3 linked regions of the Macaca mulatta genome follow. The protein of the gene in region 3 purifies or fractionates together with the protein of the main gene of each other region. This does not show direct contact. Links are inferred from orthologs where the notes say so. Each region holds a gene or a part of one and is shown on either strand. Other genes may lie near its edges.

Evidence for each region. The genes of interacting proteins can lie anywhere in the genome.
Region 1: the proteins of BAG3 (region 3) and PDLIM7 purify together in Homo sapiens (affinity purification with mass spectrometry; 3 studies listed by BioGRID and IntAct, counting the BioPlex papers as one, with this or other methods). This does not show direct contact. The link is inferred for Macaca mulatta from reciprocal best matches to the Homo sapiens genes BAG3 and PDLIM7.
Region 2: the proteins of BAG3 (region 3) and HSF1 purify together in Homo sapiens (affinity purification with mass spectrometry; 3 studies listed by BioGRID and IntAct, with this or other methods). This does not show direct contact. The link is inferred for Macaca mulatta from reciprocal best matches to the Homo sapiens genes BAG3 and HSF1.

What each region holds. Positions count from the first base shown.
Region 1 is NC_133411.1:186,476,043-186,480,365, reverse strand, and holds part of PDLIM7 (PDZ and LIM domain protein 7), read left to right. Parts: intron 1-2,959; coding exon 2,960-3,111; intron 3,112-3,221; coding exon 3,222-3,252; intron 3,253-3,710; coding exon 3,711-3,829; intron 3,830-4,221; coding exon 4,222-4,242; intron 4,243-4,323. UniProt on the Homo sapiens protein: May function as a scaffold on which the coordinated assembly of proteins can occur. May play a role as an adapter that, via its PDZ domain, localizes LIM-binding proteins to actin filaments of both skeletal muscle and nonmuscle tissues.
Region 2 is NC_133413.1:154,708,725-154,712,690, reverse strand, and holds the end of HSF1 (heat shock factor protein 1), read right to left. Parts: intron 3,879-3,966; coding exon 3,803-3,878; intron 3,732-3,802; coding exon 3,670-3,731; intron 3,557-3,669; coding exon 3,460-3,556; intron 3,363-3,459; coding exon 3,226-3,362; intron 3,100-3,225; coding exon 2,818-3,099; intron 2,443-2,817; coding exon of another isoform or gene 2,359-2,442; intron 1,573-2,358; coding exon 1,467-1,572; intron 1,388-1,466; coding exon 1,322-1,387; intron 1,249-1,321; coding exon 1,179-1,248; intron 1,109-1,178; coding exon 903-1,108; 3' UTR 501-902; downstream 1-500. UniProt on the Homo sapiens protein: Functions as a stress-inducible and DNA-binding transcription factor that plays a central role in the transcriptional activation of the heat shock response (HSR), leading to the expression of a large class of molecular chaperones, heat shock proteins (HSPs), that protect cells from cellular insult damage.
Region 3 is NC_133414.1:131,747,366-131,753,258, reverse strand, and holds the start of BAG3 (BAG family molecular chaperone regulator 3), read right to left. Parts: upstream 3,818-5,893; 5' UTR 3,522-3,817; coding exon 3,342-3,521; intron 1-3,341. UniProt on the Homo sapiens protein: Co-chaperone and adapter protein that connects different classes of molecular chaperones including heat shock proteins 70 (HSP70s), e.g. HSPA1A/HSP70 or HSPA8/HSC70, and small heat shock proteins (sHSPs), e.g. HSPB8.

The sequences.
Region 1 (4,323 bases), on a different chromosome or scaffold from region 3:
ATGGGTGGGCAGGCAGCTGTTGTCAGGAAGCCCAGGGCAAGCCCAGCCTGGAAGGGCCCAGAGGGTTGTGGCCTGAGGAGGGCGTCAAGGTGGAGTCTGTCTGTAGGAGTTGGGCATGGGGGTTAGGGTAGGCTCTTCCCAGGGGTCCTTCCACGGTGTTCTCCGGGAACCTGCCCCACCAGCAGGGTAGTGAGGGCAGTGGTCGCCCTACCACACACATCCTCCTACACAGTCCTCACACAGCTCTGAAAACCCACCCGGCGTCCTGCCCCTTGGGAAAGTGCTGGCCCAATGCGTCTGGGGACCCTGAACCTCAGTTTCTTCCCTGATGGAGATGACTTTCAGATATGGCCTGTTGGGGGCACTCCAAGCTCCAGCTCCCTGGTCAGCATCCCCGGCATGTGGGTGGGGCCACTAGCTGATCCCAGCCCTGGAGTTGGACCTGGGCCCACATGGGTGGGTGAGGTGGGCTTTTCTGAGTTAGGCCAGTCCCCTCCCCCTCCCCTGACCCCAGGATGGAGGGAGATGGGAGGGGTGAGGGCTGGCCGTGGGCCCAGGCCTGGGAGATGAGGTAACGTCTGGGACTGGGGGGTTGGGCTGCTCAGGCTGACTCACCCCCACCTCATGCAGGGTCCAGCCCCCTGGCTTTTTCCCTCCTTGGTTCCTCTGGCCTTACCCTGCTCCTGGCCTGAGCCCCTCCCTGCCTCTCTCCAGCCACCCACCCAGCGCTGTCTCCTGCTCTCCTGCCGCCCTCTCCATGCTCTGAACACTCCTCATCCTCTGCTTTCTGCCCTCCTCACTCTGGGAAGGGAAGCCGTCCCCGCCCCCTACCCCCTCTCCAGGAGCCAGCTAGCTGCTCCTGTGCACCCCAAGACCTCCATCTCGGGCTCAGCCCACACCTCCCAGGAGCCAGCCCTGTGGGCAGGGAGTGGCTGGGCCAGGTTTCCCTTCTACTGACTCACCATGACCTTGAGTAAGTCACTTCCCCTCTGGGGTGTCACTTCCCCACATACCGTATAAGGGGTTGATTTAGTTGGATTGAACTAAAGGTGAGGGAGGGGCTCAGGATGTCTCCAGGTGGACTGGCCCCCCGGTTGGGCCCCCATGCTCAGCAGAGGTGGCCCACAGTGCCTTAGGGTCAGGGACACTTCCTGGCCTTGCCTCTTACTAGCTGGGTGACTTGAGGCAAGTTGTTTAACCTCTCTGTGTGTATTTTCTTTTTTCCTTTTTTCTTTTTCTGACGGAGTCTTGCTCCGTCGACCAGGCTGGAGTGCCGTGGCGCCATCTCGGCTCACTGCAAGCTCTGCCTCCCGGATTCACGCCATTCTCCTGCCTCAGCCTCCCGAGCAGCTGGGACTACAGGTGCCCACCACCACACCCGGCTGATTTTTTGTATTTTTAGTAGAGACGGGGTTTCACCATATTAGCCAGGATGGTCTTGATCTCCTGACCTGGTGATCCACCCACCTCAGCCTCCCAAAGTGCTGGGATTACAGGCGTGAGCCACTGCGCCCGGCCTCTGTGTACATTTTCAAGTGCAAAATGGGTAAAATCCCTGATTACTCCACAGGGTTGTTGGAAGATTCAGTGTCAATATGTAGCATACTTGGTGCTCAATAAACGGAAGCAACTGTTCTTATTTAGCGAGTGAGGAAGGGGCCACTGAGCTCTCTTAGCCTTCTGACCTCCCATGCAAGCAAGAAATCATGTTGAGCCCAGCTCGCCTTTCTTTTCCTGGTGCTGTCAGGCTCTGTGTCTGGCTGCCCTGCCCTCTGACATCTCTCTGAAACCTCTTGCCTCCCTTTTCCCTGTCTCAGCCCAGTCTGTGCACTGGCCCACCTGAGGAGCCTCCTGGGGCCTCTGGCAGCCTGGACCCCCCAGATCCCCCCCACCCAGTGAAATTGTCTTCCAGCACTGCCTCACAAAAGCCTACTTACTGCAGTACCAGGCCTCTTGCCAGATGGCTGGGTGGCCCCTTGGGCTCAGACCCAGTCAAGCTGCCCCGCCTGTGTTGCTGGGGCTGGCCTCGAGGCCTGGAAGGGGATTATCAGGGTCACCCCTCTCAGGGCCTGGGAGATACCCCATCCCAGACATTAAAACTGCCAGTGGCTCCTCTACCCTCAAAGCCAAGTCCTAGTTCCTTCTGGCATTCAAAGCCATCATAAGTAAACTCACCCGCTAGGCAGCACACCCCATTCTCCTTTACCGAGGCTCACAGCGTCCTTGAAGTCATTCCTGATGGTCTCAGCTCATCCTGGTGGCAGCCGTTTCTCCCAGCCTACTGTCTCCTCTCATTGCCACAGGAACCAGGGACTCCCAGCTCAATAGCCTGAAGGATTGGGGTTGGAGAAAGTTGGCAGTTGAGGGCTTGGGCGTGACACCCATGTATGGCCTGTGAAGCCCCGGCTGTCACCTTAGGCCCCATTCAGGCAGTGTTCACAGGGAACCGGAAGATAACAGGGCCTGTTCTGGCGCTCAGAGGGTCCTAGGAGACCGCTGCAGATGGCCCCTCACAGGGTGCTGGGGGGTAAGAGGTCCGTAAGAGCCCCGGGTGGTTTCAGGGAGGAAGCTGCCCCCTGCATGGGTCAGACGGCATATCTGGTAGGTGGAGCGGCCTGGGCAGGAAGCCAGCAGGAGCCTCAAAAGGCAATGGTCCTCCTGAAAAACTTGGGCTTTAGCCTGAGCCTGGCTGTTTGTGGACATCATAGCAATTTCTGGACTGTGTGGGAGGGTCGTGGTGGTGAATAAATAAGCAGTGTGACTGGGGAAATTGTGAAGCTCAGGTGAGTGCCACCACCTGGCTTGCTTTAGTGTCCAGCAGCTGCCTAGAACTCTGTTGAATAAGAGCTCTCTGGGTTCTGGAAGTGGGGCAGCTTTGGGTGGGGCAGGGTTACCACCATCAACCTGGCTTGGGTCTGCAGGAGCCAGGGCCTCAGTCACTTTGCTTCTCTCTCCATAGCTCACTCCTGGAGGCAAAGCGGCGCAGGCCGGAGTGGCCGTCGGTGACTGGGTGCTGAGCATCGATGGCGAGAACGCAGGGAGCCTCACACATATCGAAGCTCAGAATAAGATCCGGGCCTGCGGGGAGCGCCTCAGCCTGGGCCTCAGCAGGTATGCGGGTGGGCATGCATGGGTGCAGGTGGGCATGCATGGGTGCGTGGGCGCTGGCGGAGGGGATCCCCGCGGGCCCAGCCCGCTGTCATGCTTTCCTTCTTCTCCAGGGCCCAGCCAGTTCAGAGCAAACCACAGAAGGTAGGAGGCAGGCCGAGACATCTGGGTGCGGGCGGTGTGGGCTTGGACGGCCGGGCCTGCTCGCCCTCCTGGCACATTCTCGGTACCCCAATCCCTGGCCGGAAGTGGAGGGTGGAAACGAGCTAAGGCGGGTCTAGGGCCCTGGAGTTGAGCCAGGGGCTGCCGCACGGTCCTGGCACCACGCATGTCCGCCTGTCTGTCCGCCTGCCTGCCTCCCGCCATCGGCGCTGCGTGCTCGCCCGCACTGGGTCAGCCCTCGGTCCTGCGTGGACTGAGATCAGCACTCCCAAATGGGCCCCTTGAAACCTGTTGTCCTCTCCCCTTAGCCTCCAGACAGATGTGGGGGGTGGGGGTGGGGGGCTGGAGCTGCCGCTGTCCTCTCGCGCAGGCGCCCCACTCCCACCCAGGTCACCACCCTACCCCGCCCGCCCGCCCTGCCCGGCTCTGTCTCTGCCCAGGCCTCCGTCCCTGCCGCGGACCCCCCGCGGTACACCTTTGCACCCAGCGTCTCCCTCAACAAGACGGCCCGACCCTTCGGGGCGCCCCCGCCCGCTGACAGCGCCCTGCAGCAGAATGGGTACGTCGGCCCCTGCCCGCCCGCGCCCACGCCCACGCTATCAGGCCCCCTGTGGCCCCACGCCCGCTGCCCGCTGCTGCTCAGTCTGTGCTGCGCCCCAGCCTGGCGGAACCGTGCGGCAGCGACCCCTGGCGGCCGGGGTGGGGCTGCAGGCACAGGGCCCCTCCCGAGGCTGTGGCGCCTTGCAGGGCACCGCCCTGGGGAGGGGTCTCTGAATGAGGCCGCGCCCTTCGCTGGCGGCTGGGGGTTGGGTTGTGGTGTCGGGCCAGCTGAGCCCCAGACACTCAGTGCCGCCTTGTCCCCGGCTGTTCTGACCCCTCCCCATCTTTCTTCCTCTCCTGTGCCTGTCCCTTTGTCCCTTTATCTGTCTATCTGTCTTATTTCCTTCACAGGTGCAGACCCCTGACAAGTCAGTGAGCCCCCTCTGCCTGTCCCTCTCTTCTTCCTTTTGGCACTCTGGGCGGCGGCCCCTCCCCACCCTAGCTGCCCTCCTC
Region 2 (3,966 bases), on a different chromosome or scaffold from region 3:
TGGGTTCGATTCCTCCATCCCACATAGGCTCCTGTGCCTGTCCCCACCTGTTGGCCAATGGAGCTCAAGAACAAGCTGTTGCTGCCAGATAAAGAAGCAAAGCCTGCTCCACTGCCCACCCCAGGCCCCCTTCCCTTCCTCCACCAGGCTGAGTGGAAAACCCTGAAGCTATGGGACAGGCTTCTGTTGCCTGTGCCTACATAGGAGGGCACTATGGCAGGAAGACAGTGTGCCTGCCCTGCATCCCCTGTCCCTGAGTGCAAACACCTTGGGAATGGGGTTCCTGGTGGTCTGACGACGAGAGACCTGCAGGGCCAGGGTGCCCACCCCGGTCTCTGGTCCTGCGGAGTTGGGCAGGCATGGGGCTAGCTGCAAGCGTCCGCCTTCCCCCAGGAGGCCACTGCAGCCCAGCCCTTCTGTGCCCTGGGCTCCTCCTCACTGCACCCCCATCCACCGTACTACCCTGGGACAGAGGAAACACATGGGAGGCCACCGCATAAAGCCTGTCTGTTTATAGATCTCTGCCTGTCTTGTCCGTCCGTCCGTCCATCCACCTGTGTGTATATATCTGTATATCTCTATGGAACAGGGAATGGGACAGTTGTGTAAAAATCCAAAATACAATTCTGATTATGAACAACCTGCAGGGTCAGTCCAGGTGTGGCTACGAAGCCCCAACCAAACCACAGGACACGGGGTTGGGGGAAGGCAGACTGGGAGGCCGGGGTGACCCTCCTGACCAGAGGTGCTGCCCAGACCTGAGCCCCTGTTTGTCCTACTGGGGCTGTGGTGGCCAACCCACCAGTGCCCAGGACCTCGAGGCTGCCTCTCCTCCCCAAGGCCAGCCCTGCACTGGGGGTGGGGGTGGGCAGGCCACGGCTGGCCCAGCTCCTCCGGGGCATCTAGGAGACAGTGGGGTCCTTGGCTTTGGGAGGCTCTGAGCCTGTCAGCAGGGAGATGGTGGGGTCCTCTGCGAAGCCGTCCCCTTCGGAGAAGTAGGAGCCCTCCCCCAGCTCAAACAGCACCGGCAAGTCGCTGCTCCCGGTGTCCACGGAGCCGGGGTCGAGCAGGAACAGTGGCTGTGCTGTGTAGTGCACCAGCTGCTTCCCTGCGGGGGTGGGGGTGTCAAGGCGGTGGGGGGTCAGGGGCAGAGAGGGGGTTGGTGGGACTTGGCTCACCTGAATCCGGGCTGCTGTTCTCCGCCTCGGGAGGCCTGGAGGGCTCCTGGGGAGACAGGAGCTCTTGGATCTGTGGGGTGGAGATGGTATCGTGAGCGCTCCTGCTGGTCTTGTTCCCCCTCACCCCCCGCCCGCCTACGCACACTAGCCAGGCTGCTGTCAAGGTCAGGCAGGCTCATGTCGGGCACGGTCACCGAGGGGCTGAACAGCTGCAGAGGAGGGAGGGAAGTCAGAACAGCACCTGGGGGCGGGGCGGGGCGGGGCGGGGCGGGACAGGACGCGACTCACGTCCAGCAGGGCGCTGGTGTCCACGCTGAAGCCGTGGCTGCTCAGCATGGTCTGCAGGTTGTCCAGGTTGGAGTCCATAGCATCCAAGTGATCACTGAGCTCATTCCTGGCCCGGGATGAGGGGGTAGCTGAACCAGTGCCCCAGGCCCCACACCCCGATGCGCTCCTGTGGGAGAAGGGCTCCCCTTGACTGTATCCCCCAGGCCGCACCCCCGTGTATGCCTGCACAGGCTGGAGGGGGCAGTGCATTCGAAGACTGCCTGGAAGGTGGTGGAGGCTCTGTGCCCTCGGGTGCGGCTGGGCCCATGCTGGGCATCCCTTCGCCATGAGGCCTGGAGGCCTTGGTGGCAGAGGACCCAGGAGACAAGGGGCGTATTCAGCTCTAGCACGAGGATCAGGGATTTCAGTTTTCAGGGTTGGTGAGGTTTCCTGTTACACTGGGAAAATGGCTGGGGCTGTGCTCAGTGTGTGGGTGGCTCAGTCCCTGCCCTGGTGCTGCTGTGGGAATGAGACCCACAGTCTGGTGGCTGTGACCAAGAAAGCACTAGGCCATGGGGCACACCTGGGCCATGGGACAGGCAGCCAGGCTGGGTACCAGAGGTGCCCTGGAGACCCCACCTGGCAGGAAGTGCAGTCAGCACCACAGTTTGGATCCTGCCAGCACCAGAGGCCGTGCCAGGCCAGGGAGACCTGTCCCTGTCACAGGCAATGACCACAGGCCCATGGCCAGGGGAGCCATGATGACATTGAGCCCCAGCCACAGAGGAGCTTAGGACGATGCCGCCCAGACCCGATGCTCATGCCCCGTCAGGCTGGGTCTGGTCCACGGCTGTGTGGGAGGGCCCGAGCTCTGGCAGGGCCCTCCTCCCACCCCAGTGGGGTCAGCGCTAACCCTGGCTGGACTCGGCCATGCGGAGAGGAAGAGGGGCAGGGGAAGAGGCGGGCGACCCCAGACATCTGTGGAGTGCGAGCCAAACTGCAAGATACAAAAACAAGAGCCCCCATTGCAGGCAGGGGCTGGGCAAGCCTGGGGGTGTGGAGGCCAGGCCCTGCTCACCATCTCCTGCCATCTGTCTGGGCAGCACGACCTGCCAGGACCTGTGGCCTGTGGCAAGAGGGTGGCAGCAGCAGGAGGGGTGGCTGAGAGCAGGGCCCAGCAGCCTGCCCGGACACGCCCTTGGCTTCTGTGGCGTTTGGGATTGTGGGGTGATCTGTTTGGCACCTGTCTCCCTCCCCAGCCCAGAGCTCCGAGGTTAGGGGTAGGGTCCTGCCTTGCCAGCTGCCCTCTGGGACAGTCTGAGCTGAAGCCCAGGGCTGTGCCTCCAGGGGCTGTGGGTGGGGCGGCACTCACTTGTCCAGGCAGGCTACGCTGAGGCACTTTTCAGGGGTGGAGGTGGGCGGGGGTGAGGGAGGCCGGCCCTCGGTGTCCGTGTGGCCCCTGGCATCCGTGAGGGCTGTGGCGGAGGCGGGGGTAGGTTCACTCTCCCGCAGGATGGAGTCAATGAGGGCGGTCGGGGACAAGAGGGTGTCCACGGAAGATGGGCGCCCGGGACTCGCCTCCTCTACCCGGGGGCTCTGAGGCGGGCTGGGGGGCTCCTCCTTGACACGCACCAGGGGGCTGCTAGACAGGGGCCTGGACACGAGGGGGGCCACGTTAGCTGGTGTCTTGGCCAGCCCCACCTCATCCCCAACTCTGCCCTGGGCCCACAGGGGCTCGCCTCGTTGGGGGACAGGATGGCTGGGGTGATGCGGCCCCCACCTCTCGTCTATGCTCCCGCCGGGGGAGGCCACGGGGCTGGCAGGAGCCAGCTCGGTGATGTCGGAGATGATGGGTCCGGAGTTGGCCACAGAATCGGGGGCGTAGAGGCTGGAGCTACTGTAGGCCGGGGAGGGGGCCTGCAATCAAAGACAGGAGGCTCGTGCAGCGCCGGCCAGGGCAACACACCCCACTGCGCCCGCAGGCCTGGACGGGTGCCCTGCCTCCAGCACTCACCGAGTAGGGGCCCGAGCCGTGGACGTGCTCCAGGGAGAACTGCCGGCCGTACTTGGGCATGGAATGTGCTGAGCCACTGTCGTTCAGCATCAGGGGGCTGTGGGGAAGGGTGCAAGTCAGCTGCCACCCCCTACCTCGGGGCACAGCTGACAGAGGAGGAGGACGGCCCTGGGCCCTGGGTGGCGGATGCAGGCGTCCCCAAAACCTCACATCTTTCTCTTCACCCCCAGGATCCGGTTTGACTGCACCAGTGAGATCAGGAACTGAATGAGCTGTGGGGAGAGAGGACACAGTCACCCCGGCCCTTGTGGGGCCCCCGCCGGCCCTCTGGCCCTGCCCCCACCTTGTTGACGACTTTCTGTTGCTGGGCATGCTTCTGCCGAAGGCTGGCCACCTCCCGCCACAGAGCCTCATTCTCACTGCAACAGACCAGGCTGGGTCAGTGGGGCCCGATCCCAGGAGCCCCAGGGCTGAGGGAGCCCCACAGACCCTCCCCGTCCACCAGGC
Region 3 (5,893 bases):
CCTCCAGAAGCCCGGGTACCCAGGGAGTTTCCCCAAGAAGGAAAATGGAGGCTCGGGAAAATGCTCTGCAGGTTATTCAGGAGGCACTAAGCCGCAGCTCGTCCTCCCCAAAATGGGATCACTGGCCATCTGTGGCTCCCACTGCCAGTGCAGCAGAACCAGAACCACCAAAAAAGTTTTTTGGACTGAATAGTTTTCTGGGTCCTACACTGAGCAATTCAGATTTGAACATGGGGTTGGGGGCAGGGAGGTGATGAGACACAGCCTCAATCTGTGTTCTTAACAGTCCCTGGAGACTGCCAGGCTGGTAACCCACAAGATCCACAGAGCTAGAGCGGCCCCGCTCCATGAGGGAGAAAAGTCTCCCTTTCATCCCAAGGAGGCCTGGCGGGAACAGCACTCCAGAATATCCAGCCTCTGTTCTGTTTATTCAGGGAGGAGCCTGGAGGAGTGGCTGCACCAGCACTGAATGCCAACCTCTGCCAAAAAGGGGCCTGTACTGGTATGAACTTGCCAAATTAGTGGGAAGCCCAAGTGTGCAGAAAATCAAACTTTAGGGAGACTGCAGGTGGGGAGGCCCAGCTGCTTAGAATGGGACTGGATGAAGCACAACATCTTTGCCGGCAGCCATCCTGCTTCAGCAATGACAGAAGACACTTGCTTTCGCTCTGCCCCTCTGTGAAAACAGGGAGTTGTCCTAACCACTTCAGGAGAAGGCAGAGGATCAATTGCAAGACGGCAGTAGAAGACTAAATACAAAGGTCTAGTCTTTTCTTTCCATTTTCTTACTAACGTGGTTAAATTTTAAACATCGTGAAGCTGAGTCCTCCCCCAAAGGAGAGGTCGTCTCTGGAGCTCCTCATGCTCAATGAACAGCTTTTTACTGATTGACAGCATTTCCTCTTGAAAATGATGATGCTCACACGGGCCTCAGCTCAGCTCCTCCAAAGCCACCCTTTGTTTTATGCAAGGGCCCTTTTCTCATGATGCATTGAGAAGCCCATTCCAAATACAAAATGATATTCTAGGATTCTCCACTACATTTAGTCTCCAGCAAGGTGTAATTCACACAAGTGCAACCAGATATTGTGTGTGTCTAAGAACAGGGTTGAAAGCAATGAAGCACAAACAGCTAATGGGCTGAATGTTAGTTTTCTCCTTAAGTTTTGGTGCCATGCTGACAAGTCTCAAGTCATTCACTTCGTAAAGAGAACTCTTTTCTTGAGTTGATGATGTCCCATCATCAAAATCCAAGCAACCACAGCACAGAGGTCAGTGACCCAATAACTTGGTGGCCAGGAGGGCACAAAGATAATCAGGTATTCTAGCCTGCATGCTTCAGTTTCACAAAACATTCACTTCCAACTTCTAACAGACACACCACCTCTTACTAGAACTTTCCTGACATTAGTTCTCTCCCTGTAATTGGTACTAGCTGGATGACCTTCAAAGTCACACCTGAATTCTCTGGGTTTTTCAGAAAATAAGAGATCTTCTAACTAAGAGATCTTCAAGGACCTTTCAACTTAAAAATTTTGACTATGAAATTTTCAAAGAAACCTTTCCAGCATCAGACTTCTGATGTAATAGTTCTTACTTTTTATTTATTGAGAAGAATAATGGCAGCTAAACCTGCTTTTTTTCTTTTAATAAGGTTTATGAAACCACAGCCTAACCCATGCACCAGGTGGGTACAGGAATATCTCAACTTGCTGGGTAAGTTTCATGCTGAGAACAAAGTGCTGGGAATGTCTATGTTCAAACTTGATCTTCACTCACAACAAAGGCTGCCAGCAGATACCACTGTCCCTATGTCCACAGGAAGAAGGCCTCAAAATAATAGTTGCAAACCACACTAAAGATCAGGTACATCCACGCAGACGCCTAAGAAAGGTGGTTTGAAATGAGTGTCAGTTTCACCCAAAAATGGGCTGAACACACACACAAAAAGGTATATGCAACTGTGCCCACCCCAGCTAATTACAGCCTCTTGTATTAATTTTCAAGAATAAATACACAAGTAATCTCTCGTAAATGTAAACTGCTGCCTGTACAGTGTCTCACTGTTGGGCACCGGAGTTTTATCAATATTGTTAAAACAAAAAGTGCATTAAAATGAAGGGAAATAATACAGGTCTTTCTTCTAAAATAATGGGTTACAAAGTATTTTTAATTTGGTGAGTTTTAAAATCTTCAAAATAATTTACCAGCTCTTTGCTGCTTTTATCTTGCCCAGACGGCAGTAACAATTACGCTTTAAGTATAACATATTTTTTTAAAAAAACTTTTTATTTTGAAAGCTCAAATTTATATAAAATTGAACGAATAGTATAACTATGATTTTTGAAAATTAACAGACTCATTCCAAATTTACGTTTTCAAATTTCATGCTCTTGGGGATTAGGAATATCGTTGCATATATGTAAATGAGACATACTTCTGCTGTATTCCCAAGAGTATCATTACTCTGTTATTTGTGTACTGGTAACAAATTCTAAGTATTTTAATACCATAACAAGGCAGGAAGCGAATGCCATTATAAATATACACGTATCATTCTCTTTCCAGTGTGAGGCAATGTGGTAAGGCAATGGCCAACTGTAAGTCTCAGATCTCTAGTTTAGAAACTGCTGGGGAGAAGTGCACCCTCTTTTATATTTTACAAGTCATACTAGGATACATTCGTATTGAAAGCACTTTCAAACAATAATACAATTTTAATTTAAAATACACACACACGCGCGCGCACATATATATGAATGTTTTGACACCAGCCTCCTGAGTCATTGGGTGCCTAAGATGGGACAGCAAACAAGATACCCCTCAACCAAGTTGGAGAACTTGAGCGGTAAAATTCCTCCCAAAAACCACCATCCAAGCTTGCGAGGGTCCCCCTCGAGTCCGCGGTCAGCGGGGTGCGCCGCGGGTCCCGGGACCGGAGGCCGAGCCGGCAGCAGGGGCCGCGGCGGGCCGGAGCCTCCGGAGCTGACCAGGCCGGCCGCCCCCTCCGAGCCCGGGAGCGTGAGGCCAGCGTCGGACACGCGGCCCTCCGCCCCGAGTCGAGCCGTGGACCGCACCGGACCCACTGCGGGGTCGCTTCCCGGACCACCGGATCGCGGGGCCTCCTCTCGCCCCGACTCCTGTAAAGGGCGGGTCCGGAGCGGGGACTCGTCCGGGAGCACCGGGAGTGTGTGGCGGGGCGCGGAGCCGGTGTCCGCCCGCAAGGGGCCTTCGCCGACCACCGGGCCCCGCCGCCTGGCGTCCCCCCGGCCCAACCCACTCCCCGCCGCCTGCCGTCGAGGTGGCGCCGCCGACCAGGGCGGGCCGCGGGCCCAGCTCACCTTGGGGCCCTCAGAGGGCACGCGCGGGTCGTTCCACGTCGTGGTACGGCTGTTGTGGTCCACGAAAAAGGGCCAGCCGGTCTGCGGGTCGATCTTGATCTCCCAGCCGGGGGGCAGGGGGTCGCGGTCACCGTTGCCGGACGCCACCTGCATCATGGGCGAGTGGGTGGCGGCGCTCATACTGGGTCGGGGTCTGCCCGCCGGGGCGCGGGTGTGGGGCGCGGGCTCCGGGCGCCGAGTCTCTGGCCGGGCCGCCGCCGTGGGCCCCTCTCTGCCGCCGACGTGTCCGGGAAGCCGGCGCCGGGCACCTTTATGAATTAAAGGCGGGGGTGACGTGGCCAGAGAGGGGTGGAAGTGTCTGGAAATAGCCTCCTCGGTGCCAGAGGGGAAGGAGGCGATAAAGGGAGGTAGCAACTGGCCGGCTAGAAACTTCTGGTCCAGTCCAGAGAAGTTGGCCGCGGCCCGGGGTTGGACGCGGAGCTCCGCCCTGAGTCATCCGCTATAATCGCGGCGGGCGGGGCTGAGGGGCCGGGGCGGGGCTGAGGGGTCGGGGCGGGGCCTCTCCCCGCTCGCCCCTCCCCCACCTTCTCCCGCCCCTCCCCCCGCCGTCTCGTGCGCGTGCCCGGGCCGGAGTCGCCGGGGGCGGGCGCGGGCGCGTCTTCGGGGTCCGCCTGCGGGTGGGGCGCCGGAGGAGCGGTACTGGGGGCTTACTCCGTGGCCCCGGGAGGGTTTCGGCTTTCGCACTCGCTCTCTCCCTCTCCTTTGCGCCGACTGAGTGTTCCTGGGGCTGGAGCCCGTGCTCCCCGTGCCTGCCGCCCCTCTTTCCTGTACAAAGCCATCTCGCCCACCCCCACCCCACCCCCACCCCCCAACCCCCCCATATATGATAGCCGGGGACCATGAGGGCTGTCCGGGAGGAGCGCGGGGACGCTCATCTGACACCAGAAGGAAGCCAGGGAGAAAATGGAAGTTAGTGCAAACTCACCTGCCTTCCTTTGGAAACTTCAAGAAAAAAAGAGATTGTGTCAGCTGATGGCTTTTAGTCTCCTAGACTAAAAAGAAACTTTCGTTGCGGTGAACAGCTTTAAAGAAAAATCACATTTTCTTGGATTCGGATCTTTTTTATGGTAGAAGTTGGTTCTTGCTGTCTTACATCTTGACCCTCATTTGGGAAGTAAAGACCGAACCTAACCATGACATTTTTTGTTTGGTTTATTCAATTGCACTTGTAACCTGTCAAAGGAGAAAATTACAACACATTTAAAGATCTTTTCTGTTGTTGTTGTTGCTGATTCTCATTTTTTAACTTTTGTTGTTAAAGTTCTTAATTTTATTTGTGATTCTAGAATTGGGCAACACCTCTATTAAATTAGAATAAGTGCTCCCATGAGCTGAGCAGAAGAGGTTGATTTTATAGACAGAGAAGGGCTGAAGAAAGCAGAAACAAAGAACCAAGACTGGATTGGTTGTTTCAAAATTACTTTCCTTGTAAGGAGGGGACAGCGAGACAGAATCATAGAAAAATAACTGATGAGGGCTTGCCACCATGGCTCATGCCTGTAACCCCAGCACTTCGGAAGGCCAAAACTGGAGGACTTCTTGAGTCCCGGAGTTTGAGACCAGCCGGAACAATACAGTAAGACCCCCATCTCCACAAAAACAAAAAATAAGCCAGGTGCAGTGGCTTATGCGTGTAGTCCCAGCTGCTCAGGAGGCTAATGTGGGAGGCTCATTTGAGCCCAGGAGTTTGAAGCTGCCATGAGCTGTGATTGTGCTTTTCATGCCAGCCTAAGCGACAGAGCAAGACCCTGTCTCTTTAAAAGAAAGAGAGAGAAAGAAAAAGAGAAATGACTGGTCATCACCAGGTTACATACATACAGATTACTATACAATTGACCCTTAACATGGGTTTGAACTGAGCAGGTCCACTTGTACATGGATGTTTTTCAATAAAAGTTACACCGAGTGTGCTTGCCTCTCCTGTCTCCCCTTCCATCTCCTCCACCTCTTCTGCTGCTGCCACCCTTGAGACAGCAGAATCAACCCCTCCTCTTCCTTCCCCTCCTCAGCCTCCACATGAAGATAATGAGGACGAAGATGTTTATGATGATCACTTCCACTTATTGAGTAGTAAATGTACATCTCTTCCTTATGATTTTCTTAATAACATGCTCTTTTCTCTAGCTTACTTTATTGCAAGAATACAGTGCATAATACATATAACATACAACGTATGTGTTAATTGACTGTTCATGTTATTGGCAAGGCTTTCCGTCAACAGTAGGCTATTGGTAGTTTTGGGAGATTCAAAAGTATGCAGGGGCCGGGCATGGTGGCTCACACCTGTAATCCCAGCACTTTGGGATGCCAAGCGGTGGATCACTTGAGATCAGGAGTTTGACACCAGGCTGGCCAATATGGTGAAACCCCAACTCTGCTAAAAATGAGCCGAGAGTGGTGGTGGATGCCTGTAATCCAGCTGCTTGGGAGGCTGAGGCAGGAGAATCGCTTGAACCCAGGAGGCGGAGGTTGCAGTGAGTCCAAGATCATTC